4 linked regions of the Drosophila melanogaster genome follow. The gene in region 2 interacts genetically with the main gene of each other region. Each region holds a gene or a part of one and is shown on either strand. Other genes may lie near its edges. The genes, in order: Smurf, Med, anchor and gbb.

Evidence for each region.
Region 1: of Med (region 2) and Smurf, changing one suppresses a phenotype caused by changing the other (phenotypic suppression), as found in Drosophila melanogaster (one study listed by BioGRID).
Region 3: of Med (region 2) and anchor, changing one suppresses a phenotype caused by changing the other (phenotypic suppression), as found in Drosophila melanogaster (one study listed by BioGRID).
Region 4: of Med (region 2) and gbb, changing one suppresses a phenotype caused by changing the other (phenotypic suppression), as found in Drosophila melanogaster (one study listed by BioGRID).

What each region holds. Positions count from the first base shown.
Region 1 is NT_033778.4:17,589,310-17,597,136, forward strand, and holds the start of Smurf (SMAD specific E3 ubiquitin protein ligase), read left to right. Parts: upstream 1-3,481; 5' UTR 3,482-4,003; intron 4,004-4,158; 5' UTR 4,159-4,540; coding exon 4,541-4,595; intron 4,596-4,656; coding exon 4,657-4,695; intron 4,696-5,957; exon of another isoform or gene 5,958-5,974; coding exon of another isoform or gene 5,975-7,827. Other genes in the region: RhoGAP54D (Rho GTPase activating protein at 54D), read right to left, coding at 1-545, 599-831, 897-1,045; icln, read left to right, coding at 1,724-1,842, 1,929-2,457; CG30105 (uncharacterized protein), read right to left, coding at 2,577-2,654, 2,719-3,108; ND-51L1 (NADH dehydrogenase (ubiquinone) 51 kDa subunit-like 1), read left to right, coding at 5,975-7,827. UniProt on the Drosophila melanogaster protein: E3 ubiquitin-protein ligase which accepts ubiquitin from an E2 ubiquitin-conjugating enzyme in the form of a thioester and then directly transfers the ubiquitin to targeted substrates.
Region 2 is NT_033777.3:31,607,818-31,617,336, forward strand, and holds Med (medea), read left to right. Parts: upstream 1-3,228; 5' UTR 3,229-3,863; coding exon 3,864-3,927; intron 3,928-4,161; coding exon 4,162-4,430; intron 4,431-4,493; exon of another isoform or gene 4,494-4,516; coding exon 4,517-4,871; intron 4,872-5,069; coding exon 5,070-5,291; intron 5,292-5,442; coding exon 5,443-6,057; intron 6,058-6,117; coding exon 6,118-6,400; intron 6,401-6,461; coding exon 6,462-6,630; intron 6,631-6,686; coding exon 6,687-6,813; intron 6,814-6,872; coding exon 6,873-7,084; 3' UTR 7,085-7,558; downstream 7,559-9,519. Other genes in the region: Mnat9 (microtubule-associated Nat9), read right to left, coding at 7,584-8,186; CG1792 (uncharacterized protein), read left to right, coding at 8,585-8,704, 8,758-9,455.
Region 3 is NT_037436.4:17,618,650-17,626,661, forward strand, and holds the start of anchor (anchor), read left to right. Parts: upstream 1-3,174; 5' UTR 3,175-3,653; coding exon 3,654-3,844; intron 3,845-7,458; coding exon 7,459-7,748; intron 7,749-7,843; coding exon 7,844-7,983; intron 7,984-8,012. Other genes in the region: Vps60 (vacuolar protein sorting 60), read right to left, coding at 1,646-1,708, 1,770-2,000, 2,080-2,245, 2,452-2,603, 2,661-2,729.
Region 4 is NT_033778.4:23,848,204-23,855,450, forward strand, and holds gbb (glass bottom boat), read left to right. Parts: upstream 1-3,358; 5' UTR 3,359-3,551; coding exon 3,552-4,919; 3' UTR 4,920-5,044; downstream 5,045-7,247. Other genes in the region: ytr (yantar), read right to left, coding at 254-596, 2,368-2,609; eIF6 (eukaryotic translation initiation factor 6), read right to left, coding at 1,132-1,869; bgcn (benign gonial cell neoplasm), read right to left, coding at 5,356-5,491, 5,547-6,228, 6,290-7,247. UniProt on the Drosophila melanogaster protein: Required for the growth of imaginal tissues and for patterning of the adult wing.

The sequences.
Region 1 (7,827 bases), on a different chromosome or scaffold from region 2:
GGTAGACAGCTTTCCAGGCACCTCGAAGATGTCCAGTCCACGGACGATCATATAGGTCACGATGCTGGACATTTTCTTGGCCTGGTAGTGCAGGACCTCGGGTGGCAGTTGCCTTGGGCAAATTAGGTGCGGTGTGAAGAGAGTGGCCAAGTTATCGGCGCTCATCTTGTTGCTTTTCTCATGCTTGGCCACAGCATGCAGCATCTCAATGATGTGCTGAAGAAGTTCACGATGTTCTTCGGGCAGGAGGAGAAGTAGCAGCTGCACGGAGTTGAGAAGATGTTGTTGACGCTCAGCAGTGGCAGTCGTCTGACCATTGAGCGCCTGGCAGAGTGGGGCTATCTGCAGATGCGCCGGATAGTGGGCATCCGTAAGCAGCGGTTCTGGAAGTTCGGATAGAAAACCTTTGAAAACGGTCGCGCAATCGTGAGCGGAGAAGCCCGCAAGTTCCAAATTCAGTGGTTTGTCGTGCTGGATGTGCATCCGAAGTTCGTTTTGTCGGGACACCGCACCAGCCTTGCGGAATAGGCCTTCCTGGGTGAGATCTGAAACAGTGGATCAGTTAATGAACGTAATTTGAGATCTTCAGCGAACTTACTCTTCTCCAGCATTAGGAACTCCTTGAGCTCTTGCAGATGCATTAAGAATCCCGGATCAATCTGCTGTTGCAGTGTCTCTGTGGGACTATTACCCACGGATTTACTGGCGGAGCCGGCGGCACAGGATGTGGCAGCTGCTCCATGTCCCAAACGATGTTTTTTAGACAGGCGGTTCCACTTCTTCAGCTTGCCCTTGTCCTCGTAGACAATCTCGTGACAGGGGAGATCGAATCTACATATATAAGGGAATCGTTAGTAATGTGGTGAGCAGCCATATACCAAGGTGATCCATCTTACTCATCCGTATTGAGCTCCAATTCAAACGATAGGTGCATGCGCACCAAGGATTTGTATTTTTCGTAATTGCAGCGGCGCATGCGCGTGGCCAGATCGCGATCCCTGAAGTCATTTAGGTTCGCATGGTCCGTATCCATCGTTGCTTCCATGCAATCTGTGTGGTTTATCCGTCGGGACTATCGAGTAAACACTGTATATATCCACGAACAACGACAACAACAACAATAATAACGACTGCCAACGGATAAGGAAAATAACAACAACTTGGAAGGACAATGACAAGTTCGTTTCGTTAACCCGAAGGCTACTTCTTTCACTTCTGTCCGTAATGGGTTCGTTTTGAGGAGTGTATTATTGTCGAAGGTTTGATGCGCGAGCATATAACTTCGCATTTATCACATTTATCGCAAATTTTAACAGCTAAAATTGAAAATTGAACGAGACGCTACCTAACCAGTGTGACCGCGGCTAGAGCGCCAAATTAAGACCTCTTTGGGAGAAAATCGTACGCGCTGATCTGGTAGCACAATTACGTACTACGTTTTTATCTTTTTTTGACAAAATTGTTCCATTCTTTATATATCTATTTCTAAATTCAACAGTGGTAAGAAAGAAGTTGTCCTCCGAGAACACCTGTTCTGATGATTCTACATTCAAAGAAGGAAAATACATCAGAGCGTTGCCAGAGTCCAGCTGTCTCTCCTAGTTATTGCCACCCTTGCCAGACTTTCAAAAGGGGGACGAAAAAATGGTACTCAACACTGCATTTTTGCAAGTTTTGTTGTTTGATCGCGCTTTTTACAATTAATTTAACAAGCTGTATTAAAATGGTTCTTATTATGCGTGTTTCCCCGCCGGAACATGGTCTGTTGTATACGGCAAACAATATCAAGCTGAAACTAGGCGACAAAGTGGTGGGCGAAGGCACAGTTTACATTGCCCAAAAGTGAGCGCTTTAGAGCTTTGCCGGTGTCTGGTATTGCTCTCTATTTATTAAAATCTTTTAAAGTAACTGTTATTTCTTGTTCCTAGCACGCTATCCTGGCAGCCAACTGAATTGGCGGAGGGTATATCCATTGAGTGGAAGCAGGTTAGCCTGCACGGTATCTCTTCGAATCCGAGAAAGTGCATCTACTTCATGCTGGACCACAAAGTCGAGTGGAACGGCGTCTACGGAGATCCTCCCCAGCAGGCAGTCAATGGTCGGAATGGCGGTGGTTCGGAAGCGGAAGTGGACGAGGGAAATGGCAGCGATGAGCACGATGAGGACGACAATTTCGAGGATGCCGTAGACGAGCAATTTGGAGAGGTCACAGAGTGCTGGCTTATGCCGGAGGACATTCACACCGTAGACACTATGTACAGTGCCATGACGACTTGCCAGGCCCTACATCCTGATTCGGCAAACAGTGATTCGGAAGACAGCGATCCTATGCAGGATGCCGGTGGCTTAGAGGATGAGGCTATGGAGGAGGATGATGCATTGACGCTTGGGCGCAACGGCGTGCAGAATCTCAGTTTGGACGACGACGAAGAGCGATTCGAGGACGCTGATGAGTGAAGCATAACCTATTTAAACATCAATACCACGTTTTATACCAGATAAAATGTACGATATATATGTATTGGATTAGATTTTGGAGTAATAAATAGAACGCGGTAAGCGCGATTAAAACAAAACTACGTGCTTTCCTTGACGTTTTCCTTATTACGAGCGATTTCTTTCTCTAAATCCTCTTCGCTAATGGGCTGCGAGAGCTAAATAAATAAAATGTGGTATTTATTAGGTGTACTTCGAGAATATATAGTGGTATATACATACAGCTTGAGCAACATCCGGCAGAGGAAGGGCCTGTCGGTAGGGATCGCCATTGGACGGCACTTTGTCGTAGTTCCAGTAAGTAAAATCTTGAAATACTCCAGTTAGCCGCAACTTTCGGTCGGAGGTATCGCTGATGGGCTTCTCTGTTTCTTGCAGAACTAATCCGCAGTATCCTTCGGGCACTTTCAACTTCTCTCCCATTAAAGGAAATCCGCGCAAGGCGTTCGTCAGGATTCCTGTGCCGAATTCGGTTGCTTCACGTGTGTAGTTGTTGAAGTAATTTTTTACATTCGCTTCCCCATCGCCGTCTATTTTGGCCGGCAAGTAGTGCACGTCTAAATTCTTACCCTTGGCAAAGTTCTTACCATTAAAATCTAGAGTAATTGACATTGTTACTTTTTGCGCAAAATAAAAGGTAAACAAAAACTCCGCCAAAATGTGTTTGTTTGTTTGCGCTTAAGAAGGATGGTTTGAGTAGCAGCTAAACTCATCGATTTACAACCGATAGCCAATAGTAGTTTAATTCGATAGTAACAATATAACAAAAACATACAATTATATTGTAAATCAAAGCTTGTAGATGGTAACGAGATCACTGTTTACCATCACTGAACAAGTTTTCATGCTGTTTTAAATTTAGTATCTGACTACATACGTATTATATATATATATTTGACAATATGCGATGTTTTCCAAGAATATTAGCACTAAAAAATCGATAGTATAAGAGAGTAATCGATTTTTCACTCAGCACTAGACTTTGTGCCACCACTAATAAAAATGGCGTTCGAAGTTGTAGTTAAATTTTTATGGGAATCCGTAAAACAATAGCGCGTGAGGCCGCGGCAGCATAATTCGCGCACTATCAAGCGTTCCGTGGACGAGCAACTGTGTGGGCGTGCGTTGTTCGCAGAGTTTTCGTCCGATTTTTAGTGAACTAGAACAATACAAGTGTGCCTCCTTTGATTATTATTGCAAATTTTAGTACCACACACACTCGCGCACACATCGATAGCGAAGGAAATACTAGTGCGAGTAAATAGTGTGGCACCCATACTGGAGCAGCGACTAAATTAAAGTTAATTAAACACACAGTGGTATTTCATTTAATGCAATTTGTGAAATAATAGAGTGGCAGAGGGAGAGAGACAGATCGAACCCCGCTCCCGCTCTCCCCTGCAGCATGCGTGAACTGCGTCCGTGTGTGTGTGCGTGAGAGAGTGAGCGAGACATGTGCGTGTGAGGTGCAGCAGCAACAACAACAACACCAGCAAAACAATTTCGGGTGAGTTTTTCGTGAATATTTTGCCTACCTGAACGATTTCCTACCTACGCCCTCGCTTTTGGGTTGGGTTTTTGCACTTGGGGGGAAAATACACACATTATCTCTAACGAACTTACTAATAATACCCATTTCCATTTGTTATCTTTGGATTGCAGCCTATAAAAAAAGCAAATCGGTGTTATTATTTATATACAAATATATCTATGTGCGTGTGCCATGACACACAGCAACAAACGCAAAAACTACAACAATTGCAACCGTCAAGGCTACCGCCACAGCAGCAGCAGCAACAATAACAACTGCAGTTACCTTCGGCAATGAAATTACCTCTCACCGCCCTCACCTGCTCCTCCTACACCTCCTTTGCTTCCTCTCCTCCACCTTCTACTTGCACTTCTTCTTCTTCGCTCTCCGTTCGGCGCTTTAACGACAACAACAACTACAACAACATGCCCGCGACATATAAATAATCAATACACAAAGTAAATCCATTTATTTTTATACAAATCAAACAATATCAATTAAAAGTCGAAAATTATGAATAAATTGGATTACCCACGTCGCAATGGTACACACAAAGTTCGAATAACGAGTAAGTCTGCTGATAAAAACAATTGTTAATAAAACCCACTAATATATCGCTTTACTTGCAGTATTGTGTGCTAGAAACTTGGCCCGCAAGGATTTATTTCGTAAGTATTTTAATATTAATTGGATATATCTTAGCATCTAATTTCCTTAGTGCCTATCACCTATCCGTCAAATAGGACGGTCTAAATTAGTTCCTAAAGCAGAACTTCCGGTCATCAAAAGCATAAAAGTTTTACCCTGTACTTCTTAATCGTTAGTGTTATAAAATATTAAATGTAACAGCAAAAAATTCCTTAAAACTATTTACCCAGCATGCCTTTGGCGTAATCACTTATTTTCGTAATTTGCTCACATGTTTGGGCTAATTTCTTGACTCACTTTTGGTTAGTTACGGGAAATTTGGAGCAGTTGGCATTCGCCAGACCCAGCAAGCTTTGTTTTCACGTTTGGTTTTCTTTTCGAAAACCATCAATTACGCACCTGTTTAGCCGTCCAATCGAAACACACATTGTGGTAAATTAAAGTTTTGTTTTATTTGCGGCGCTTGTGGTGCTGCTGTTTCCTCTTCTTCACATTCATCTATGCATATAAGGTATCGCTAAATTTAGCACTTCCTTTCTTGTCTACTTTCATTTTTATACAAATTGCGGAAAAGCCCCCTCCCCCCATCGCGCCCATCAAGTCGAGTGGGTGAGTGCGAGTGGTGCGCCATATCTGAGCTCTTTTCCCATATTTTGTTAGATATAACAAAAGTGATTATTACTAATTTGCTTTCATTGCGGCTCACTCACTCGCTCGTCCACAAATACAATCGCAATATTTTTTCTTTCTGTGTATTTGTGATTTACTATTCGCTTTTTCCACTTCTTGTCCATTTTTGTACACTTGGTTGCACTTAAATCACGCGCCACGCATTGTTCAATGTGCTACTAAAAAAAAAAAAAAAACATTCGATGTTCCTTATCCGTGAGATTCCAATAGGGGGATATTTGGGTTTCCGAAAATGGGTCTGTGGCCGCTGGTGTCACTTCAAATGAATTGTTTATTAATGCTAATGCTTGAATTCCGTGGTTGACTACAGAATATGGCGCATTCATTTGCTATTTTCCCTCTACTACCATATACATTGTACACTAGTAGTTGGTTCTTCATATTTTATCGATTCTTTGTGATAAGATTTTAGTTGAACCCAGCGGGGCTTACGGTCATTATAGGGAAAATCCATAATGGGACTTTCCGATATTCGTTATTGTGAGTAATGTAAACTTTTTTAACATATCAAGTTCGAAAAATGTGGAAGTAGTATGCTTTGAATTTTCCTTTGATTCAACACACTTGCCAAAGAGTTCAGTTAATCAGATAAAGAATATAGACGAAAGCATGATATCGTTTCTGTTAAAACGCCGAGCTTGTGATGCTTACAAGATTTCATTAGGACTAACTCGTGCATATAGAGCCTTAACAGAAGTAAAAAGCCTTCAAAATGCCTTACGACCTGGTAATAAAACTGGAAATATCAAGCTGGTAAACATATACCGAACTTCTAGCATACAAAATGTGAAGAAGAACCAACTAAGTGACGCTGAAAGCGTTATTCCACTCTTATTGCGGCCAGCCAAACCTGTGCTGATTATGAGAGAAGGATCTCAAACCGATTGTAACGACGATTTGCTGTCCTCTGAGCAAAGAGCCAAAAAAAGGGAAAGCATAAAAAAATCCGAAGTAGATTGCCCAAAATTTCCAGCTGAGAAACTTCCGCCCACAACGAAATTTCCTATTAATGAAAATGCCAAGAAGGTTTTAGATCCAGCCGACCAAAGAGAACTCGAGGCCAATTTGTTAAAAAGGCTTAAAGATATGGCTAAAAGAAAGAAATCTCGACTAGATGAGAAAGTTGACGAGCTGAGGGATAATTTTATAGGCTGGAATTATGCTGCTCTACAAGGAAGAACTATTGTGACTGTGGATGCCAAGGAATCAACTCCACCGAAAGGATCTGGGCCGGCCACCCCGGCAGGCTCTCCTCCACCTAAAAATGTTTCTGCACCGCCGACGGGCGGTTCTCCGCCTGCCAAAAGCGGCGCTCCACCACCCCCAAAGGGGCCACCGCCCGGAACTCCACCACCGCAGACGAAAACTACTTTTGGACCACTTGCTGATGCTGATCGAATCTTTACCAATTTATACGGACGGCACGATTGGCGATTGAAGGCAGCAATGAAGCGCGGTGACTGGTACAAGACGAAGGAGATCATAGCCAAGGGTGACAAGTGGATAGTCAACGAGATTAAGACATCTGGACTGCGAGGACGCGGTGGCGCCGGATTTCCCAGTGGACTTAAGTGGTCATTTATGCATAAACCGCCTGATGGAAGACCCAAGTTTCTGGTGGTCAATGCGGATGAAGGAGAGCCCGGTACTTGCAAGGATCGTGAGATAATGCGCCATGATCCACACAAACTGGTAGAGGGATGTCTCATTGCTGGACGGGCTATGGGTGCCAACACTGGTTTTATTTACATTCGCGGAGAGTTTTACAACGAAGCTTGCAATCTTCAGTATGCCATTATTGAGGCCTATAAGGCTGGCTACCTGGGAAAGAATGCCTGCGGTTCTGGGTTCGATTTCGATCTTTATGTGCAACGTGGAGCAGGAGCCTATATTTGCGGTGAGGAAACCTCTCTGATTGAATCCCTGGAGGGCAAGGCGGGTAAGCCAAGGAACAAGCCTCCCTTTCCGGCTGATATCGGCGTCTTTGGCTGTCCGTCTACGGTGACCAATGTGGAAACGGTGGCCGTGTCTCCCACTATTTGCCGGCGTGGTGGCAATTGGTTTGCCAGCTTTGGACGTACCCGAAACTCTGGCACCAAGCTGTTTAATATCTCTGGTCATGTTTGCAACCCTTGTACCGTCGAGGAGGAGATGTCCATGCCAACCAGAGAGCTTATCGAACGCCATGCTGGCGGAGTGATCGGGGGCTGGGACAATCTACTGGCCATCATTCCGGGTGGCTCCTCCACTCCCTGCATTACCAAGGAGCACGCCTCGAGTGCGATTCACGACTACGATGGGCTGATGGCAGTGCGTTCGTCCATGGGAACGGGTGCCTTAATTGTTATGAATAAGGATACGGACATTATCAAGGCCATTGCCCGATTATCGGCTTTCTATAAGCACGAGAGCTGCGGCCAGTGCACTCCTTGCCGCGAGGGTCTCCACTGGGTGAACATGAT
Region 2 (9,519 bases):
GTCAGCTGTCTCTCAAGTGTTGGCATTGAATTTCACTTTGGGCCGTCTGTCGTTTTGCAGACACACGAATTTCATGGCATACTGAAATCGAAGAAAACAGGTAGAAAGCAGACGATATCTGCTAAAAAGGCGCCACCCTAACCACAAGTGGAAGCCAAATAGATGTCAGCTGGATTTCGGGTTATTTAGCCTTAAACTAATCATTTTGGTTCAATGGCTTTAGGGGAATATATAAACGGGAATTGTAAGTTAATCTCTTTATTCCAAAAGCGACTTACTTAGTAGACGTGACCCAAATAGTTGGACATTGCCCACCTAAGGGTTAATGATGAATTCTCCCCTTTTCACACCCGTTCCCATCTCTATTCATTCCACAAAGAAGGTAGGCAGAGAATAGAAGAGACCTTTTTACATGTAAACAAGTGTGGAGAGGAATAAATAAAACAACGGTACAGCAACACCCACACACCCACACCAACCCAACTGTTTCATTAGTATGCGTGCGTGGGGTCGTTTTATGCGTTGTATTTATATTATTTTGGAGGCTATGGAAAATATGAAAATCAACAAATTAAGCAATTCTGCGCGACTTTGCGACTGCGCAACAAATTGAAATCAACAAATATGACCCAGAAAACAAAGTAAATGCGCTGAAGGTGAAATCAGGAGAAACGGGGTACAAAACGGAATGTAATAGCAGTTGTTACTTGTGTTTTCCAGAAACAAGTTGCTTCCTAAAATGAGCAAAAGTGTTTTTGAAACGAAAACAAGTAGTTTTATCCGTCGCACATATTTTATTTTTGGCTGACGCAATTCCAAGCCAGAGCACGCACACTCCCAAACCAATCAAGTTGCTGTGCTGGTGTGAGTGTGTGTATGAGGTAAAAATCCGAATGGGAACAACATACACACATACAAAGTCTTTGTTTGCAGCTCGCGTGTGTGTACGATGGCAAGGGAACTTTGGAAGCGGAACACACAAATTGTGGGGAGAACAACAAAGGAAAAGGGGAATATGAAGTAAAACAATTGACGCAAATTGGAAATAAAACAGATATGCAAATGGGGGAAGGCAATAGGAATGGGTTTTCTAGGCGAATAAGGCGGTGCCAAGGAAACAAAGGCGTACATTAGTCTCATTACATATGTATGTTGTACAGCTTGCATAAAAAGCACAGCCCCTCAAACACACATACCACTGCAAGCAGCATAGTTCCTCGCCCACCCCTCGTTCGACCCTCTCGCTCACTCTGTAAGCAACGACCTACGAATAGCGGACCCCAAATCCACTCTCTCGCTTACACACACAAACACCAGACAAACAGCTGTGAAACAAATGGAAGCGAAACAAACACGTAAATGAACGAATTTTGTATGTATGCCTAATATAATTTCTTTTTTCCTACAAACAAAATCATCTGATAGATGAAGAAAAAAACCTTGATTCTCTTTTTGCATTTTATCGACTTTTCCACTCTTAAATAAATTTAGCATTTTCTTACGTTTTTACAGCCATTTTGTTGTTTTGTGTTGCGCAGGAATGTTGAGATGAACTTTGTTTAGTTGTGAATTTTTGCTTCTATTGCACTCGAAAATAAGTGAATAAATTGGCTGGCAGCTTTACGCTTATTCAATTGCGTCAGATAGTTAGCTATAAAACCTTGTCGTTGGCCATTTAAGCTAGTTGTTAACTAATTTGTACTGCGTTTGTATCACAATTGGAACTCTGTTTATTAGGCTGGCATTTTATCCTCAATTTTTCCCGTCTGCGGATCGATTTTTCCCACACACACTGGGCTGAAGGTGCTTGGGACTTTTCTCCATCAGCTGTGCATTTTCCTCCTGCTGATTTTTTTTAGTTCTGCTTTAGCAAAGCTTTGTACGTTTGCACTTGGTCCTTTTCAATTTCTATTTTCTATTCCTAAGCAAACAAACACATTCAAACACTCGCGCTCGCAAAAACGGTACTTCTCCGCTTTGTTGTTTTTTTACGAATGAAGAATATTGTGAGCGACCAGTGTTACCAGTAGGCCTACAAGTTCCACAGATTTGGTGCGAACTGAAATTTGTACTATAAAATACCCTAAGCCAGCGGAAGCGATAGTCCCTCACTATCGATGTGTATGTTATTCGATTCTCTCTGTTAACTAACATTTCGCTGTAATGTTATCGAACCCTAATAAGCCCGCAATAATTCTTTTTTGATGTCGAACAATTTTGAACACCGAACTCAAATAAGCCCGCAATAATTCTTTTTGGTGTCGAACAATTTTCAACACCGTAAGCCTGATAGGGATTAAATAATAACTTTATGCTTCTGAATGCGGGATGTAGACAATTTTATGACAAGTGATTTAATTAGTTAGGGAATTAAAAAATATGAGGGCAACAAATCCTCGAAGTTAAATTGAGTTCCCAAATTACTATTACAAATGGAAGCTTCTGTTTTGGCAGGGAATCGCAAACTTCCCACACATAATTTCACAATCAATGTCATTGCCAAAATATAAACATATTTACATATGTACGCCGCAAATCGAAATTCCGTTCAGATAAGCGTTGAAATTACGCATTTTGATAAGATATTTTGAAGATGGAAACTACGCAGCAAACTGTTTTACAAAAGCCGGAGAAATGCATTTCCGGCGAAAAGGAAATTCGTTACTGTTGCCAAGTGAACATTTTCAAGAGAAGAGGGGAAGGGGGTGGTCTATTTCAGGCCCCACTACACACACATGCATATTTCTAGAAACAACCTGTCACACAAACGACTCATCAACGGCAATTTTTTATGAATGAATTTTAGCAATTAAAGCAATGGAAAGAAACTTTTCAATGGGAATGCGAAAACATCAATTAACTTGTTGCACAAGATGTTCAGCCTTCGATTTTCCCCAATCTCAACGATAAGAAACTTTCCTCAATTTCGTCACACACACACACACATGCGAATGGGAAAAAACGCGTGGCGATTGATTTTCGGCCTTTCAAAAAGTTCGTTTTACGCACTGAACAGCCCGCGAAATGAGTGTAAGTCGGTGTAACAAATCTCATGGCACTTACCCGGATGCCTCTGCGTTTTGATCAGTATCTGCTTTTCTTGCTTCTTATTTCCAAAAAATATAAACTTATTCTCAAATCAAATCTTCGAGAACTGACCAAACTAGGTGTTTGTAAAAATCCAAGGTAGGTATTTCGCGCTTTGCCCATCTGGCAACGCCCGCCCATGTTGTATCGCGAAACGGTCACTCTGCACAGCCGCAACAAAATAAAAAAGGAAAAAAAGGCAAATTGGCTGGAAAACTGGATTTCGTCGGGCGGAAAATTGTACTTTCGAGTTTCCCAAGCAGCCAATTAAGTGCAAACTATGAAATTCCACGAAAAACAGTAAAAGCCAGTCTCTACCAAGGATTTGAGCAGGAAACTTCTCGCTGGGCGTGTGTGTGTGCAGTGCGTGTGCCAGTGTGCGTAAAGAAGGAGGTGGAGAAGACGAAGGAGAGGAGAGTTTTCGCAGGGAAATTACGCCAACTTTGTGGGAGTTCAAGTCGAGTTAGTTCAGCGCGCGCGTGTGTGTGTGTATGCGTGTGTGCAACACCCCCCAAGCCCACTCACACAAAGCCATCCAGCCGCCGTTTGTTTTGTGCTCACATTCGCGTGCCGCCTTTGTTTGGCTTTTCTTTGGCCAGTGATTCTACGCCTTGTTTTTGCCCGCCGCCGGCTTCGATTACGCCTGCTCCAGCCACCGTACGATCCCCACTCCGCTCTCCGCCGCTCACGATCCCCATTCCGGATCCGGATCCAGCAACAACGCCGCCGTGGATGCCCATGCTCGCACTCTGGGCTCGCTCGCCCAGGACTTTGGCATGGGCGGCGGCTCGGGGGCGTGTCCGCCCGCCCACATGTACGGCGCCGTAGCCCCGCAGGACAGTAAGTGAAGTTCTCTAGAGGAGCAGCAGTCATAGTGAACTCCTTTTCGAGTTGTTATTCTAAAATCGATTTGTGGCCAAGTATTGTGGACAATCCTAAATCTTACCGTAGCATTATTATTTACTGTTGATAAACTTGAAACTCTTTGAAATTTAAAATGAAATTGGATTGAGCTGTACAGTATCCGTTGATCTACTAAAAAAACTCAGAGCTAATTACCCCCACCATCTGCAGTAATTGTCCGGGACATGGTGCAAATGCCGCCGCCGCCCTCGAACGCCCCCACATCGGCGGACGCCTGTCTGAGCATCGTCCACTCGCTGATGTGCCATCGGCAGGGCGGCGAAAGCGAGGGATTTGCCAAGCGAGCCATCGAGTCGCTGGTCAAAAAGCTCAAGGAGAAGCGCGACGAACTGGACTCCTTGATCACGGCCATCACCACGAACGGAGCCCATCCCAGCAAGTGCGTGACCATACAGCGCACCCTCGATGGTCGCTTGCAGGTAGGTTGAGTCTCTCAGACTTTCTGCATCGAATTTGATAATGTGTATAAGCAATGAACTTACCACTTTACCATTCTCTATCGAAGGTTGCTGGACGCAAGGGTTTTCCGCACGTCATATACGCCCGGATTTGGCGCTGGCCTGACCTGCACAAGAACGAGCTGAAGCACGTCAAGTACTGCGCCTTCGCCTTCGATCTCAAGTGCGACTCGGTGTGCGTGAATCCCTACCACTACGAGCGCGTCGTCTCTCCGGGCATCGATCTGTCCGGCCTGAGTCTGCAGTCGGGCCCCAGTCGCCTGGTGAAGGACGAATACTCAGCGGGTCCGCTGGTGGGCAGCATGGACATCGATGGCAACGACATCGGCACCATACAGCACCATCCCACGCAAATGGTGGGGCCCGGCGGCTACGGATATCCACAGGGTCCCTCTGAATATGGTAAGACTACAGTATTGACATTAATTCGATATAGTTTGAGTTTTCGATACTGGATTTCTTGATAATTTTTCTATATTATTTATAATTTTAAACTGAATTGTTCATTTTACTTAATTGTTTACATTCGTTTATTTCTTTGGTTTTAATAATTTATTTATATTTGTTTCCTTTTGGCGATTTTATGTTGACTTTGCGTAGTTGGCGATGCCAATCCCATGAGTGCAATGTTTCCCACCGGGCGCACAATACCAAAAATCGAGCCCCAGGATGGAGTTGCTGGGTCGCGTGGCTCTTGGATGGTACCGCCTCCCCCCCGGCTGGGTCAGCCCCCGCAGCAACAACAGCAGCAGCCGCAGCAGCAAACCCCGCAACCTACACAGCAGCAGCAGGCACAATCGCAGGCAGCTGCTCACTCACTCCGTAAGGATATGGCCTTGATTATAGTTGAAGCTTCGAAAATCGAATTTTAATTACAATTTTTCTCATATGTTGGATTTTAAACTATTATAATATTTGTCTTATTAACAATTAGTTGAATACACATTAATCTTTTCCCAAAATCAACTTTCAGCTGTGCCTCACGGTATGCCGGGCATGCCTGGTCCAATGAATCCCGGTCCCGTGATGGCACCCCCACCCCCGCCGCAGCAGGCTCAGAATCCCCAGGGCAATGGGGTGCACCATACCCAGGCCAATTCGCCCACAGATCCCGCCTCCGCACTGGCCATGCAACAACAGCAGCAGCAGCAGCAGCAGCAACAACAACAGCAGCAGCAGCAACAGCAGCAATCAGGCGGTGTGCCCAATGGATCAGTTAATGCCGGCGGTGGAGCAGCAGCTGGAGGGCAGTACTATGGACAGCCACCTCCTGTTAGTCAGATGCAAGGTGCCGGTGGGGGTGGCACCTCGGTGGCCCCGTCCGTCCACGCCCAGCAAAACGGCTACGTGTCGCAGCCAGGATCCGCGGGCAGTGCTCCCGTTGGAGGTGGTGGCGTCTTTGGCACAGCCCAACCCACACCACAGCAGCCGCAGCAGCCACCGACCGGTGTGCAGGCCAATACTGGGTCTGCTGGGGCTCAGGCTGGCGCCGGAGGCGGTGCGGCTGGCACCTGGACAGGGCCCAACACCCTCACCTACACGCAGTCTATGCAACCACCAGATCCGCGCTCTCTACCCGGGGGCTTCTGTAAGTCTAGGCTATGTAGCCCACTGTGCGACTTTGTAATCCCTGTCCTTCATTTTCCAGGGAATTCGTCGCTTTCGGGTGACCTCGGCTCCCCGCAACAGACGCCTCCGCAGCAGCAACAACAACAGCAGCAACCACGCCTCCTGTCTCGCCAACCGCCGCCGGAATACTGGTGCTCCATCGCATACTTCGAGTTGGACACGCAAGTGGGCGAGACCTTCAAGGTGCCGTCAGCGAAACCGAACGTAATCATCGACGGCTATGTGGATCCCTCTGGAGGCAATCGATTCTGTCTGGGCGCCTTGAGCAATGTTCATCGCACTGAACAATCGGAACGGGCCAGGTGAGTACATCCCCCTGGGAGTAACTTGCAGAGCAGGGATTAATTACCAAGTTCCATGCAGGCTCCACATCGGCAAGGGCGTGCAATTGGATCTGCGTGGGGAGGGCGACGTCTGGCTGCGCTGTCTTAGTGACAATTCAGTTTTCGTACAAAGCTATTATCTGGATCGCGAGGCAGGACGCACACCTGGCGATGCTGTGCACAAGATTTATCCGGCCGCGTGCATAAAGGTTGGTGCAATCAAGAGAGTTTAATGTGATAGCTTAACATACATTTTCTCATGCAGGTGTTTGACCTGCGCCAGTGCCACCAGCAGATGCACTCGCTGGCGACCAATGCGCAGGCAGCGGCCGCTGCTCAGGCGGCAGCCGTGGCCGGAGTGGCCAATCAGCAAATGGGCGGCGGCGGAAGGAGTAAGTAGATGGAATCAGTTTGATTTAGGGAAAACTAATGTGTTGATGCGGTATTCCAGGCATGACAGCAGCGGCTGGAATTGGCGTGGACGATCTGCGCCGGTTATGCATCCTGCGCCTGAGCTTCGTCAAGGGCTGGGGACCTGACTACCCACGCCAGTCCATCAAAGAAACGCCCTGCTGGATCGAGGTGCACCTGCATCGCGCCCTGCAGCTGCTGGACGAAGTGCTGCACGCCATGCCGATCGATGGCCCGCGTGCCGCCGCCTAATCCGTATTTATTATTGGCCCACATCTATGCTAAGGACTCAGTTTTAGCGGCAGCTATCCGTCAGCTATTTGCGGATTTTGTGTTTTTCATTTGCAATTCTGATTACGATTATGTTTGCCTTTGATTATTTGATAATAATTTTTATAAAAAATTGAAACAACTTAGAAGTCTTAAGTATGCAGCTGTAAAGCACTAAGCATCTAGTTTTATGTACTATACTTAAATATACGCCCACACAACACCGGAGATACTGAACAAGCGGCCAATGTTTGTTGTCCATTTCCTGCCACGAAAATTACAAATTAAAAAAAAAAAAAACGAGAAGCATACACAGCATTACAATCATCCAAGCCACAGGGCGAAACAAAAAGAGACATCGATGCACCCATAAATACATTCATTTGATGTAAAATGCAGCATAAATAAGGCAAGCGAAACAAGTAGATGTAACATAAGTGTAATAAACAGACCGTGAAATTACGATTCTAAAGGCTTCTTTTCACTGATAGCACTGCATACGCAGATCCACCTGCTGGTCCAGCCAGTTGATCCAATCTGGAGTGATAGGTCGCTCCAGGGTGACCTCGTGGAAGATCTCCACTCGACGCGTCTCCACGAACATAAAACTCTTAAACAAATGCAGCGATGCAGCGTTGTCCATGTCGATCTTGACCTCGAATTTATCCAATTTAAGCTGGGGCTGCGATTGGGCGTACTTGAGCATGAGGAGCATGGCTTCCCTGCCGAATCCCTTGCCCCGTGCATAAGGTTCGGCAATCATGATTTCCGCCTCCGCCGTTGGTATCTGGCTATCGGGATCTTGGTGCAGGAAGAGATTGGTGTCGCCCACCATGGCGGCAATCTCATCCTGATCACGCGAATAAGTCTCTGCATCCAGGACAATGAAGGTCAGCTTGTCGCTGTCCTCCCTCCAACTCCTTTGCATCTCGTGCTCCTCTTCTAAGGTCAGTTCCTCGGATGCGGTCAACTCCCTCAGGGTCTCGTTGCTCATCCACTCGTGGTACTTGGGCACGTGGCGCGCTTCGTAGGGCACAAGGATGACCCTGTGACCCAGTATTTTGGTGTTCTCGTTTAGATGCATCCTTAAATTTGGAAAAACTTAGGAATATTCTACAATCTGGAAATATTTGTTATTGTAAGCTTGTTTACATCAATCAGCTGCTCAAGCTATATAGTGGCCACCTGAATCTACACTGTAAGGAATTCTCTTTGCGTAAGCACTGCAAATAAGGTAATATTTTTGAAATGAACTCTTAAATCGAATGGAGAAAAGCGAGTAATCAAATAAAGTAATATCAAATAATCAATCGAATTAAAAATTAAGATCTGTTCAGGAATCCCCCTTACGATGTTGTGGCAGCGGTGCCACATCTTCTTAGCTATAACAGTCTGGCATTGCCAAAGGAGCAACAATATGAAAAGCAGAGCAATTTTCTGATTAATTTTTTCTTAAGTGTTACTAAATAAATAAGTTTAAAAATGCCGAATCGTAATTGCCGGACTTGCGGCCTGTTCATTTTCTGTTCGACGCCCAGTAACCTCTTCGAGGAGCCCAATTCCGTAATGCTGCACCAGATCGAGGTTCTTACTGGTTTGTTTGTGAGTACCTTTCTATTTTTGTGTTTTCAAACTTAAGTCTGGATTATCCGTAGTTGCTCGGCGGACCCGGGAACGAGCTGCCCCCCTTTATTTGCTCACCCTGCGAATTGGACCTGCAGACGGCGATTGCTTTCCGGGAACGTGTGATTCGAACCCAAAAAACGCTGCAGGAAAGTCCCAACCTGGGGAACGCGGAATTGATCGAATCCTTCGCAGTTGGTGTGGAGAAGGAGATTCAGTACGCTGAAGAGGTCACCGAGATCGAGGTTATAGACCTTCTACCCGAGGAACACCTGCTGGAAGAGACGGAAGAGCCGTACGAAATATGTGAGCAGAACGAGCAGCCCCAAGTGAAGGTTCCTGCGCAGGAGAAGAAGCTCCGCAGAAGTACAAAGACCACGCCCACAGTCTTTACCTCCGTTAAGTTTGCGGACAATAGCCAGGCCACGCGCACCCAGTGGAGCAGACTCACCGAGGACGAAGTGGTGGCCCTAAAGCGGGAGCGACGCAAGCGGGATTGCATATGCGAGCAGTGTGGCCGGCACTTCACCTGCCCCAGCAACTTCAAGTTGCACCTCCTCCGACACACCGGCGTAAAGAGCTTTGCCTGTGACCAGTGCTCCCAGCAGTTCTACACTGCTACGCTTCTGCGGCGCCACCAAGAACTGCATGCGGGGAATGCTTTGTTTCAGTGTCGCTACTGCGAGGCAACCTACAGCAACGCCAGCGGACGCATCCAGCACGAACGCATGTACGACAGAACTCGTTCCCATTCATGAAACGTCTAATGCTTTTCACATATTTCTGACCACTTT
Region 3 (8,012 bases), on a different chromosome or scaffold from region 2:
CCATCTCAAGCAAAAGTAATCCAATTGGCGATATATCCATAATGTTCCGGCAACGGCAGAAAAAAATCATATACCCTATTGCCTCGAAGTTTCTATCAGTTACTTTGCGATTTATCACTTAATTTCTAAAATTCTTGTGTAAATATGTATAAACTTTCAGGCACTTTTCTTTATGGGGGCGGGGGCGTGGTCAGGGGAGGGCGGGAAAAGCCGACCAAAGGCTGTCAGATGCCACCAGATATTTGGATTAATTAATTGACATTTTAATCATCACGCTAAGGCCACTTGAACAGCGAGATTTCTTCGCGCGATTTTTGCTGCTTCAGAACTCTTTGTAACGCATTTTATTTGTTTGATATTTTGGGATTGCACTTTTGATCGGTAGCAAAGCGTTTAATTAGCGACGCGACGGCGGCGACGACGACGGTGGGCGGGAAAAGTGGGCGGGCGGGCGAGCGGGCGTTCTGTCGGTTGGCGCGAACGCTGCAGTTACAGTTACGTTTGAACAATTGATTTTTGTTGCTGCTAATTTGTTTTGTTGTTTGGTTTTTGTTATGCGTGTTTGAAAAGCGAAGGTTTTCCTCTTCGCATTCGAATCGCTCGAATCAGAGTTGGGGCAAAATTTGCGACTGTCCGTTACAGCAGTCAAAAGACAACTAAACGGCGAACAAGCGTATTTTTGCACACAGGCACTGCGCTGCACTGAGACCCGCTCACGCACACCAGCGCACCTCCACCTCGCGACGACAACGGCAGAGAAACGCTCAAGTTCACGCTCTGAACTTCAAAGCTCGTTAGCGTAGAGAGCGCAAGCGAGGCTAAGAGAGCGGAATGCAATTGCAATTGCAGGGAGAGCCAAAGAGAGTAGGGAGCTACAGTGCATCCTCTGTACGTCGAAATTGTGGGAAATAGTTTTTGTTTTTGCGTACTTTATTTCCAACAACACCTTATTTAATTTCAAGGCCAAAAAATATATTAACATTGCTTTGCGTTCGATTAACGCTAAATCCATTTCAATTACAATGCGGCGGAAACTCATTCAGCAAGTATTCTGCTTTCTCAAAAAAGTAAGCAGTACATTATACTCACTTTTATACTCAAAAACTTACTTAAATTGAAAATATCGTAATTCAATGGCAAGCTTCTTCTTACCTGTTCTGCAAGCTCACCAAATTTTGTTTGAAATGAGTTTTTGACTTAAGTGTTTATCACGTATACGTACAGCTGTACATCCGATCAAAAAAGGGTCAAACTATTTAATTTACAATTTAAACTATATTAATTGATTTAACCGCTGGATAAAAACTAAAGAACGAATGTTTCATTGTTAAAATTTTTAAGCACAAACCTAATAAATAATAAATAATAATAATTTCTTTCCCTGAATTAAGTGAAAGTTTGAAGTTGAAATATATTAATGTTTTTTCACTATATATATTAACTTTCATAAATTAACCAATATAATGCGTCATTAGTGTGGCGTGATAACTAAACGGCTATTTATTGAAAAAACAAATGGTTACAAAAGTGAGACTTGAGAGGGAATCTTTGATGGCTCCATTACACATAAAATATACAAAGCGTGCCCAAGGTTCAACAAAGGATAAAGAATGGAAACATGAGAGCTGGCAGCTTGGCAGCTTGCCTATGTGGTCTTCAGCGATGTCGGAATCTTGGGCAAGCCGAACTCATCCGTTTCAATGGTGCTCTGTAAGAAATTAGCTCGTTAGTAAGCAATCAAGCTGCTATCCATATAAGCAGCATTATACCTTTCCAGGGACGATGCTGTCAGCTCCCGGCTCTCGACTCGGCGCCTCCGGAGCCTTGACCACGTCATCCAAATAGCTGGTGTCATCGTCCAAGGCAATCTCATCGCCCAGAGCATCCAACTCGGCCTGCAGGTCGTCGTCATCCACCTCAGGCATGCCGTACGTGCGGCCCAGTGCCTCCTGCACCTCGTCCGCCTGCTCAAACATATCAGCCATGTCGTCTTGGATGTCCTTTAGGCAAAAGGATAAAAATTAATTTATGTTCATATTTCTGGGACATTTCCATCTCTTTCCAGCTAACTATGCTTACCTCGATCTGGTCGATGTTGATCTTCTTGTACTCGGTCTTCATCTGCTTGACTCCATCCTTCATGGCCGCCACGGTGGCCTGAGTATCCTTCAAGGATTGCGCCGCATAGTTGGCCTGTTCCATGTTGAACGACTGGTTGCGCAGAGATTCTGCCTGCTGTTCGTAGCTGTGTAGGAAACAAATAAAGTTCAAAATGGTTTAAAATACTCATTTAGAACAGGACACAATAAAAAAATTGATTGTGGATGTAAATTTCATAAGGTAATGGAACTTATAGATTAGGAAATGATAATTTCAAATGTCTGGAGAAGAGTAACACTGGAGGTTTGGAATATAATCGATACTAGGCAGTGGGTGGGGCATTGAACGTACGCCTTCTTTTGTTTGAGAACCCGGAGGGCCTTCTGTTTCACGGAGTTCTTGGCAGGACCTTCTCGCATCTTGGACATTTGTTCGCGGTATTTGCGCAGCTCTGCCTCCAGATTACTGATCTTCTCTTCGATGTTTGTTGCTCGGGCATCGACCTGTTGAGTGTAATAAATTGTTATTTGCTTTGTTTTCTCCATGATTTCGACACTTACCCCGGCGATGCAATCGTTTAGACTTGGACCCGGCTCCTTGGGCTTACCACGACCAAAAAGGCGATTCATATTGACTGCTTTATTATTTTAACTACAACACGCAAAATTTATGGGAAATTTGTGGGTTTTCCACTTTAATTCGTTCTACAAATTTTGTTTGATGACTAATTGTCTTCTTCTTTTTCCTATACCAATCAGCTGTTTGGACCGTACAGTGTTGGTGGGCAGCACTGTTTGGCAGGTCTGTCAACCAACGACTTATTGTTCTTAAATGAAACTGTTTTTATTGTAATTTGGAAAGATAACTCATTCGAACTGGTTTGTTTAACTGGTTCGATATTTAGCTTATATGTCGTTCAATTTTAGGAAAAACTGTGTAAATAACAGATATTTTAACGGTCTCTTTGTAGCACTGCCTTAGTATTTTTGTTTGGTATTTTCATAACATATAAATGGTGTATTTTAGTACATTTTGGTTGCCCCGCTGGTATTACTTAACGACCGCGCTGCGGTCCCACCATTCGCATTGCAAATTAAAAACAAAACGCATCGGCGGGCGCTTTTGAGCTCTTAACTACGTTAATTTGCGCAAATTAATAAATTCGTTTAATTGCCAAAAGCAAGTGCTGCGGACTCAAAAATCAGCAATGCGTCGTTCGAACAGATGAAAGTGAAATCAGCCTGCCGGGCATTGCGATTTTCGACCATTTTCGACTATTGAAGGAAAATAGAGTGCTAATAATACACAACAACAACCATCAAATTGGCAAACAAAACTGCGTAGATAAGCGATTAAATAATAGAGCAACATATTTGCCAGCAACATAAAGTAAAGGTCGGCGAAAATCCAATAAATCCGCAGCTGGCCCTTTGACGTCACGGCCCATCAGCTGCTTGGCCCACCGGAGCACCCCACTTTTTCCGCTATGACGCGCAGAGTCGCCCACTAACAGTGAACTCCCACGCTTAGCAGCCACTCCACAGTAGTCCCCAATGGACAGCTCCATGTACTACGCCAGCCAGCGGATTGCTGCCAGCACAGAGGCTAATGTCAGAGTCATCACCTCGACCATGGCCTCATCTTTGGCCAATGGAACGGCGACGCCACGCGCCGACGACGGGGGCGTATCCATGAACAACTTTTACCCGGCGTTGGTTCAGTGTTTCGGCATCATCATTTGCGGGTTAGTAGATATATTGGGGAACTTCGCACCTAGATAGTGGTCCCACGCATCCTTCCCGATAAGATTACCCGTATATTCCACCCCAAACACAAAAACACCAGGTTGCTCGCACCCCTAAAGCTCATTTGCAAGCCTTTGTTTGATTTAGGTACAGCTAAACAGCCCTAATTCGGTTTTATTTACTTTATTGGGCAGAACATTGTGTACACTTTTTATTAGCAAGCTCACTAGGGGACAGCACAGTAGTCATAAACCAATAATAAACCAATTTAAATTATTCTCAAAGGGAAATTATAGCTACCACTGAAGCAAAGTAATCATTCTTTGCTAAAATATCAAAAATAGATAGTTTTAAGGAAAGAAACAAACATTCTTAGGAATCTTAAATAATCTTGAAATACCACTCTTTAAATGTAAAAAACTACCAATAAAACGTTTCAGTTTGCTTAGATATTCTTAAAAGATAGATAGTTTGAGTAATTGAAGTTACAATATAGCTTGCCACATCCCACGTAGGATCCTAACTCGAACGTATGTATTTCACCCCTTATCGCAACGATTATGGGGAACGTGCGGTCACTTGTACAGTGACCAGCACTTATGACGGACACCGTCTCGATTCAGTTTCAATTTCTCTGATTTGTTTTCACCCACTTATCAATTGACACTCGAATTTTATTATCTGTGGCAAACTGCTGTCTCACTGTCTGTGCGTACTCCGATTCAATCGTTTGTTTCTTCAAACAAACTCAGCAATTATCCGAAATCAGCTAAATTAACTTTTGTTATTTTTAGAAACGGAATTACCCAAAAGAGATTTATTCGGGTTTAATTAGGCTTTTCCGCAGCAGCAACTAGCCTAATATTCCCCATAAAATTAATTTCGATCTATTATAAAAAGAGTTGCCTAATGGCCAATGCCTATTTGTTGATTAGATTTTGTCTCTATTTCTTTAATTTATGCTGCAGTTCTTTTAATTGCTGATGCATTGCGAAAGAATGTTATGCTAAATTTGTTGGCGTTTGCAAAGGTTATTTGAATTACAAAATTTCCGATTAGTCATTGCAAGTCGGTCGTTAACTGATATTGTTTGATCATTCACGTGAAAATCCAAACCTTTGAAACATTATGTTCCGGCTATTTAATAGGGAATATCTCTGCTGGCGTATGCTGGAATTTTTCCCAATGTTTAACCACCGATTTAGCAGTTATAATTAGAGGCGGTTTCATAAATCTGAACTAATTCCCGCCGGTCGTGGCACTTTTCCTGGGAAATTGCCGTGAAGCACCTATTAACTTTGACATACAAAAAATTGCTCAATAACAATGGGGAGCGGCATATGTAAATTGTAAATTTGCGCTGCTAGCTCCCATATCAATCATTATACATGCATCTAAGCCGAAACTTAATTGCCAGTGGGCAATAATCGAAAGTAAAACGTTTAGAGAGTGCGAGAAAAAACGTACAAAATCGGTATAAACAATTACAGCAATGACCTTGCAATACAGCGTAAACAGTATCGAGCCACTCCACCTGAGGCAATATTTGCACCTTTTTTGTACGGATTATGCAACCGCAATTACCGATTTGTCTACCGACCACTGCCAATTACTGGCGATATGCATGCCCACCCAAAGATCCACCGCCAGGCAGATGCACCTCATCCAACTGTTCAAGCAAACAGCTACTGATATCGCCTATACAAACTCGACTACAAAGTCGGATGCGATTATATGTTATTTAACTGCTCTCCCTTCGCGTTCGTTGGCATCTGACTTTAGAATTTCGTTCTGCACTTGCAAAGCCAACTGAGGTAATACCCTGCCTTTAGTCCTTATCATTATTCGGCCTTTAAAATGTAAATGTAATTGAGAAAAATAGATTGCTTTAGCTCTTAGACTTATCTATAACTGATTTGATTTTTGATTTTTGTAATAACTCAATTTCGTATGGTAAATATTTCTCTTCAACTTATTAGCTTTTAATACCTCACTATTTTCTTTGAAGTACAAATTCCAAGTATTAGCAAACGTAAATCATATCCCTATGTCAATCAAATGTCTCCCCAAATGCAAATATTTATCACCCTTTTGACACGCTGTTATGAAAGGGTAGCGAAGAGATGCACATCGCTTCCAGTTTTAAGTGCTGCTCGTAATGCAATTAAAGTTTGTTTACGATTGTTATCGCATTGAAATTATATTTAATCATTTATTTGATGAATCTTTGTTGTGTGTGTTTTCGCTGTGAGAATTTGATTGACTCGCTGTGATCATTTTTCTTTATGATTTAGGCTGGAAATAACCTGATAAGCGCTACCAATAATACAGGGGCTATAAACACCTCGACTCGTTATGGTTTTAACTGTAGCAATAGTTTGATAATAGCATAGACATTCGCAGGTGTTTCTTCATCGGATTCTGGGCGAGAGTTGCCCAACAGGTCGGTTCGCAGTATTAATAATATAATGAACTTGCACTTTGTTTGGGCACGTAAGATGAATATTTGCGTGCCGATCCTCACAGTTTGCCAATTAAGCTTTACTTCTTTTTTAGAGGTATATATGTATGTACATTAATGAGTTTTACCCGGTTGACTAATTTGGATTTCGTTTCTCTCGACTGAGTTTCTAGAACACTTGTTTTGCTCAACAGATAAATGAGCGAGATAAATAAGGAAAAAGTTTTTGACGTTTTCTGTTTAGTCTAGCTTTTTGTTTATGTACAAATTCTGTGGACAGACCTTACTCACAGACAACAATTGTTAAAACTTGTATTTCAGACCCAAGGGAATGTTAAAGTGGAGACCCATATATAAGGCTTTCATTCATTACTATTTTTATCAAGTATTTTCCTGATTTCCATCTTATAAATATAAAAGGAATTTCTTAAGAAAAGGGCATGAAGAATTTCTCTATATTTGCTTAATAAAGAGACTGTAATTTCATCTTCCGCCCTTGTGGCTCTCGCATAGGCACACTTCTTTATCAGTCATGTCTTGTAACCTCTTCCACGCTAAATAAAACATAGATAATGTCTACAAGGGTTTCGCATTCCTAGGAAAAAGCATTCTCACAGAAACCTATGACACATGGCGCTTCGCAAACGCAGAAGCTGAGTTCTGCCAATATTAACAATAGCAGTCTCGCAAATCTTAAGGAGATAAGAGCTTCCCCAGGTTATTCCCACAACATGCAGTGAATGCAATAAATCGCGTTGAGTCATAAGAAAAGGTCGCTAAACTAGTTCGTTTAAGGCAGGGGGAAGTACTCCCTACTCCAGATTAACAGACAAATTAATTTGTCTCGTCGAATGTGACAGAAATACAGATTTTCGCTCGAAAATAAAAAACGTTTACAAATCTTTGTTAGCCAAGAGACAGTCCGAAATAAAACTGGTTTACGAGTGGATCACGTGTGGGGCTGCGGTGAATGTATTTTATATGCATGTAGAGTACACTGTACATATTGATTAAGAGTTTCCGCCTTTCCGGCTGGCTGGGTTATTAGCATTAAAAATATACGCCTTTTGGTGAGGGGGGCGTGGCCCGACACGCCTTTACAACATGATTAGTGGTGTAATGTGTTCCCCTTTTACTCGCTCCTTGTTGCAGTTACATTGCCGGACGCTTCAAGATCATCAGCAATGCGGAAACCAAGGGTCTGGGCACGTTTGTGGGCACCTTCGCCCTGCCCTCGCTGATCTTCCTGTCCCTGGTCGAGCTCAACTGGAGCGCTGTCAACTGGAGCTTCCTTCTGGCCATGCTCGTCTCCAAGGCGGTGGTCTTCTTCGCCGTGCTGATCATCTCGCTGCTGGTCGCCAGGCCCCTGAACTACGCTCGCGGCGGCCTGATGGCAATATTCTGCACCCAGAGCAATGACTTCGCTATCGGCTATCCCATAGGTGAGTTCATGTTACAAGAACCTGGATATTGCATCTAGAAATATATGCAACTTTATATAAATTCAATTTCACCTAACATTCTATTTTTCCTTCAGTTATGGCTCTTTATAAGGATGTCCATCCGGAATATGCCTCGTATCTGTACCTGATGGCTCCTATCTCACTGGCTATTCTAAATCCAGTTGGTCTGGTCCTCATGGAGATCTCCAAGATAATCAAGAACAAGGAGGATGTGGTTGGTGTTTATCTAAATCCCTCTCTCTG
Region 4 (7,247 bases), on a different chromosome or scaffold from region 2:
GTCCTCGTGCTGAACTAGCTGGATGCGTGGAAATTTTGACGGGCCAAAAGCTGGCTGAATTTCGTAAACCGGTCTATTGCATAAAATTGCAGGTCTTCGTCCGCCGCCCATTGCCCATTGGGCACGGACAAGTAAAAAAGCGTAGCAAACTAGTTGGGCAACGGAAAAGGATGTGGCTGCTGCGATGGCGATGGCGATGGCCAATGGCAATTGGAATTGCAAGGACAACGCCAACGGCTGCTGCTAGGCACTGCTATGCCACGAAATCGAGCGGCCGGTTGAAGCCACCCTTGCGATTCATGTACTGGCGGTACTTTCGCTTGAGGATTACATGCACTTCTCCGACATCGTTGCCCTCGACCTTCCTGTTCTTGGTGGTGTCGAACGTGCAGAATCCCATTGTCTTCAGCATCTCGACCTCTTCCGGCGATTTACCCTCCAGGTCCGCCTCGTTGATCTTGGGCCGGTCGGCAGCTGTGGCCGCCGCATTGTTCCTCGTCGTCCTTCGCGACGTCGATGGTCCGGAGCTGCTGTTGCCGCCGCTGCTTCCGCCGCCGCCTCCTCCTCCTCCTCCTCCGGCGACCCTCGACCGCGATCTGCAAATTATGAATGTGTGTGCATAGTGAGTGGTGAGTGTTCTATAGATTTCGTTTGAGTGACAGGACCGACCAGTTGATTGCATTCGAATTGCAACGAGCCTGGGAAATAACTGGGGCGACCTTGGGCGTTGTGCACCCGATTGTGCAATATGAAGTTTTAATTACGCGAAATGCGACACTTCTCAACCGGTCGGTTGGCTTCATTAAAGACCATATTTACGTCTCGATTTTGGCAATCATCTGAAGACCCAAAATAACCGGCTTGTATATGCATATGCTAGAGAATTTCATTCTAAGATTTAAAATCAAGCTCAAGATCCCTCTAAAATCCATTCTGAATCCATTTATATACCTAACAGACAATATTCCTCTATTCCTCTAGCTTATATCTCAAAAACTTCCATTGGAAAATAGCTAATTGATGCTTGCAGCTCCCAGACTTTGTTTTAGTTTCGTGTTTTGTATTTCTTAAATGAAATGTAGAAGATAACAGATAATCCTTATATCAAGTAGAAAGTGGGGAAAGTTTCGCTTAGGACATGTCCTCGATGAGGGCCGCACGCAGCTTGGTCGTCACTGTGGCGGGCTGTGCCTGGTTAAGCTTGAAGACGCTCTCGATCACGGAGATCTCTGTGGCCGTGGTGTTCATGCCCACGAAGGAGAGCCAGTCGTTGACGACCATGCCGGCGGCGAGTACTTCGCTGCCCCGGTTCACTGTTCCGGCCACGAGGGGAACCTGCAGCAGGGACGACAGTTCGTCCTGGTCCTGAATGCTCGTCTTGGGATGCACCATGCCGCCCTGGTTGCTCAGCACGGCGTAAGAGCCCACCAGTGAGTTGTCGGCAATGGTCTGGCGGAAGACCTCTACTTTGAGCACGTCCGCGATGATCTCCTCGGTCTCCTTGTCCAGATCCGGGTGCACCAGGGCCACATAATCATTGCAGGCGATAACGTTGCCCAGCGCGGACAGGCGCTCCTCCACACGATAAATCTTCACGGCGTCTGGCAGGCTGTTACGCAGGTGTTGCAGCTCCTCGTCGGTGGTGGAGTTGGGCACCAGCAGGCCGTTGCGGTTGCCCACGGTGAGGCGGCCGATGATCCGGCAGCCGCCCACATTCGCATGCACCACCGGGATGGTGTCGCCCAGCTCCGCCTCGAAGGCGCTGTAGAAGGTCTCGGATCCACCGATGGCCACCAGGCAGTATGTGTTGGTTAGTTTAGTGAAGACGCCGATGTCGTCGTTGTTCTCGAATTGGACGCGTAGAGCCATTTTCTCTGTATTTACGTGGATCCTCTTTTCCTGCTGGTTACTCTCTTTTCGGATTTACTGGCCTGACTGAGCCTGCTGCCGGATGAGTTCTGGATTCTGTTTATATGTCCGGAAATCAATTTAAATGTCGTGATGAAATTCGCACAATTTCGCTTCACGTGGTAATTTTTTTTTGATGTTGGGACGCCAGAGCTGCATAGCCATCGATTGGCTGCCTATCGAAGTGTGGGTCTATCGATACTCGTGGGTAAATAAACAAGTTCTGAACGGCGATTTCGGGGGTTTGAGGGGTCAATTGTCCCCTGTGTTGGAATGTGTTCCTAAATCTACACAAACACTCCCTAAGCTTATCCTAAACTTATAAATATTGGTTGCTATTTAAACCCCATTTCACGGTTATCCAGCACGCCCCTGAACTGTGACCCACATCCCCGATTTTAGTGACTAGTTTTATACTTATCGTGGTTGGCATTTGGTACACTACACTTTCTTATTCACCTAGATCGCCGACTCCGCGCACGGTCGCGCTCCCGTTCCCGCTCCCGATCTCGGCTGCGACTGCGGTCGCGATCCCGTTCCCGGTCGCGGCGACCGGCGCCTCCAGATCCGGATCCTCCGGCTGGCGCTACTCCGATGGCCTCCCGCTCCCGGGAACGGCGCTCCCTGCGCTTCTTCCGCTCGGATCGCTCCTTCTCGCGTCTCCTGTGCGCCGGCGAGGCGGGACTTCGGCTGCGGCCCATGGCTCCGTTTCGGTCTCTGCTTGTGTGGCGGTTTGAGTGATTGATGATGGTTTGCCTGCAGTGGATTTGAGCGGATGTTAGACTCCATGTACTCCAATTGCACCGCACGCATCCCGCTTACCGTTGCACTAGGCTGTGTCTAGCATTATTTGGGCGACACCGGCGGTGGGTAAAAACGCGCTAACTTAAAACTAAAACCAAATAAACAACGCGCGTTATCTCGCCGCGACGCCGAAACGGAATGAGGAATGCAGAATGCGGATGATGATGCGAGGGATGCGATGCAAGGGCAAAACATGGCCACCTATCGGATATCGATTGATGGTCGATTTTATCTTCGATAAAAATGTATCCTATGTATATCGCATACCGAATGTTTAAATCGATCTGTTTCCTTTTGAATATGAACTATGTATATATATTAATTAATATTTTTTAATAGCATTACCTATATTATATTTCAAATTATGCCCGGACTATGATAAATTTAACAAATTCATAATTACAAATCTTTCGTCAATACCACTTCCATAAATAGTTTAAAATATCAAAATATTACGAACTTTGCCAATATAAACGTTATATTTTCTACATTTACACAGTTTCTTCTTTTTTTTTTTGAAGCTATTAAACCACATATTTGCTCACGATCGCAGCTGAAATGAACTACTATGTTGGATCTTCTAGTTCGATCTTCAAGACCGATTCATTTTCCAAGTCGCGGGACTGCCAACTCCCGCGAAATAGAAAGAAAATGCATCTTGAAGATTAAGATACACACAACAATCCGTAAGTGCGTCAGAATTTTCAGAACCCGCGGTTCGCTGGAACTCTCGAAATAAACAACTAAATGCCACTGTACATCTGAAGCTATCGCAAGTGGATAGCGCCGTAGATATAGAAAAACAGCGATCGCAACCGATCCGTCCAAAACACGAAATAATGTCGGGACTGCGAAACACCTCGGAGGCCGTTGCAGTGCTCGCCTCCCTGGGACTCGGAATGGTTCTGCTCATGTTCGTGGCGACCACGCCGCCGGCCGTTGAGGCCACCCAGTCGGGGATTTACATAGACAACGGCAAGGACCAGACGATCATGCACAGAGTGCTGAGCGAGGACGACAAGCTGGACGTCTCGTACGAGATCCTCGAGTTCCTGGGCATCGCCGAACGGCCGACGCACCTGAGCAGCCACCAGTTGTCGCTGAGGAAGTCGGCTCCCAAGTTCCTGCTGGACGTCTACCACCGCATCACGGCGGAGGAGGGTCTCAGCGATCAGGATGAGGACGACGACTACGAACGCGGCCATCGGTCCAGGAGGAGCGCCGACCTCGAGGAGGATGAGGGCGAGCAGCAGAAGAACTTCATCACCGACCTGGACAAGCGGGCCATCGACGAGAGCGACATCATCATGACCTTCCTGAACAAGCGCCACCACAATGTGGACGAACTGCGTCACGAGCACGGCCGTCGCCTGTGGTTCGACGTCTCCAACGTGCCCAACGACAACTACCTGGTGATGGCCGAGCTGCGCATCTATCAGAACGCCAACGAGGGCAAGTGGCTGACCGCCAACAGGGAGTTCACCATCACGGTATACGCCATTGGCACCGGCACGCTGGGCCAGCACACCATGGAGCCGCTGTCCTCGGTGAACACCACCGGGGACTACGTGGGCTGGTTGGAGCTCAACGTGACCGAGGGCCTGCACGAGTGGCTGGTCAAGTCGAAGGACAATCATGGCATCTACATTGGAGCACACGCTGTCAACCGACCCGACCGCGAGGTGAAGCTGGACGACATTGGACTGATCCACCGCAAGGTGGACGACGAGTTCCAGCCCTTCATGATCGGCTTCTTCCGCGGACCGGAGCTGATCAAGGCGACGGCCCACAGCAGCCACCACAGGAGCAAGCGAAGCGCCAGCCATCCACGCAAGCGCAAGAAGTCGGTGTCGCCCAACAACGTGCCGCTGCTGGAACCGATGGAGAGCACGCGCAGCTGCCAGATGCAGACCCTGTACATAGACTTCAAGGATCTGGGCTGGCATGACTGGATCATCGCACCAGAGGGCTATGGCGCCTTCTACTGCAGCGGCGAGTGCAATTTCCCGCTCAATGCGCACATGAACGCCACGAACCATGCGATCGTCCAGACCCTGGTCCACCTGCTGGAGCCGAAGAAGGTGCCCAAGCCCTGCTGCGCTCCGACCAGGCTGGGAGCACTACCCGTTCTGTACCACCTGAACGACGAGAATGTGAACCTGAAAAAGTATAGAAACATGATTGTGAAATCCTGCGGGTGCCATTGAATTCAATTTACCACTTAGGCTAAGCACTATAGCACTATATATATAAAGCATTTCTGTGTAGATGTCCATCTCTGTACTAATCTCGAATATTTTTATACAAAAATATACAGCGCTGTACCTAACTGAAGTTCGTCTCTTGAGGAGTTTCATTTGTGGCTAGTATTAAAAGATACTTCTTCTTTATTGTCTCACATCTACTCATGATTGGGATGCACAAATTTCAAATATTTCAAAACAACGATGATAGACGCAATGTGGTACTAAAAGTACGTATTTTGATTCTGGTTAGCTCTCATTTAAAATTAACAGTCATTTCACAGCAATAAAAGGCACAATCAAGTCCTATTTGGACTTCGGCACGCTTCTTTGGATCATTCTTAATTATTTTAGGACTCAATTAGTAGGGAAGCAGGCAATATGCGCGAGGAAGCGGGCTTTATCGCTTGTGAATCCAGTGGTGGCGGAAGGCAAACAATTCCATAATCAAGTTGCCGACACGCTTGTCAATTAGCGCCGACATCAGGCGGCCATCAAACACCGGTGTCTGCACATTCAACGACACACACGCATCTCTGAAAGGAGAGCACATTAGACTGGAGTATTCTCCGCAACTTGGATTGCACTTACAAGATTTCAAACACCGGAATGTTGTTTCGGAAGTATTCCTGCAACATAAATACACCATTGACGAATTTGGCTCGACTAATGCTGAGCATCATATCGGGATCCTTTCTATACAGGATCACAAAGATGTGCCGGTTGGGCGTGTCGATGGGTCTGACAAACTTGCCGAGGACACTTTCAATAAAGGCTGGCGTGTTCCTGCTGTGGAACTCCTCGCAGTCGCCGCCTGCGTAGAGCACGAAGAACTGCCTCTCGATGAAGTGCGAATTGAAATGGTGTGGTTTCGACAGCATGTTCTCCTCCACTTCCCGGGCCCAACTGAAGTGGGCGTTAACGGACAGGAGGTACAAGGATGGCAGCTGGGGCGTCGGTAGAAAGGTTATGGGCGGAGGCTTGAAGAAGCCCACGAATCCATCCTCACTCTCGAAGATCTTCGATAGCGTATCAGTCAGCACGGTGTATTGGGAAACTGGCTCGCAGTCTCGGCGCCACATGTCCAGCTCGCTGCAGTGCTTCAGCAAGTCGTGGTACATTTTAAAGAAGTAATACCGCGTGCGCATCACCATCTCCGCCGTAGCCTTGGACATAACCATCCAGATCCATTCGTCTATAAAGACGTTCACGTTGCGATCGGTCAAACTCATTTCACTGTCGCAGATCGGGGAGAGGCGAATCCGTGGATGTCCTAATTAATACAAAATGAATGATAACCAGAATGATATAACATGAAATTCATTCGAGCTTACCCGAGAACATGGCAACAGCCAGAGGAACGACCAGGGTGGCGTAAACAATGTGGCTCTTCTGCCTGTTGCACACAATCCACGGTGTGCGGAAGCTCTGTGCCGAAATATTCAGTGGCTCCAAGAAATCGCGGAGCACGGTGTTCGGATGCATGGAAACGTTCCCGGAGAAGGCCGACTTTAGCGAACTCTTTCTAGTGTCCACGGCATAGATGTTGGGATACATTCCGCCCGTGAGGGCCGCCTTAACCATGTGCCAATTGCAGGACATCTGGTTGAGATTGTTCATCGACAGCTTACCTCGGCTGTGAATCAAATTGGCTGCCCGCAAGGAGCTCACGATCTCGGAACGAATGGAGGTGAGTTGCTCCATCAGGCCATTCAGCATGAATTCATACTCATCCTTAAGGTATAGCGGCGGCGTCCTGTTGTGCATTCGGTTTTGCCACTCCTTGTACAAGCGCACGAAGATGAAGTGATCGGAAAACTGATTGTCGGACAGGTAGGTCCGCTCTTTCTTGATGCTGTTCTGGATGTAGATGGTGAACCTGTCCCACAAGTTGTCGATGTCCTCGGTAAACGGAATGCCCAACGGGTCCGCCGTCGACAGAGAGCTGACAATCGTGAGTATTGGATCCAGGCAGCGCAGCAGGATGCCGAAGATCAGCATGCGGCCGAGTTGACAGGAGACCGGGATGTCCATCAGGCGGCAGCCCAGCCAGGTCACATCCTCGGCGTCATCGAGCACATCTATTTTCTTGAGGAACTGCACGGCATGGTGCACGTTGATCAGCGGTGGCGGTGAGATGGTAATACCCAGATATTCGCTTATAATCGTATTGGGTGAGAGTAGTTTCACCGCCAGGCAGATCTTGTCCAGTTGCATAGTCTGCAGGCTTGGCTGACTGGTCTCGCTTAGCTCCTCGTAGGCCTCCTTGCTTATCAGACGGAAGCATTGTAC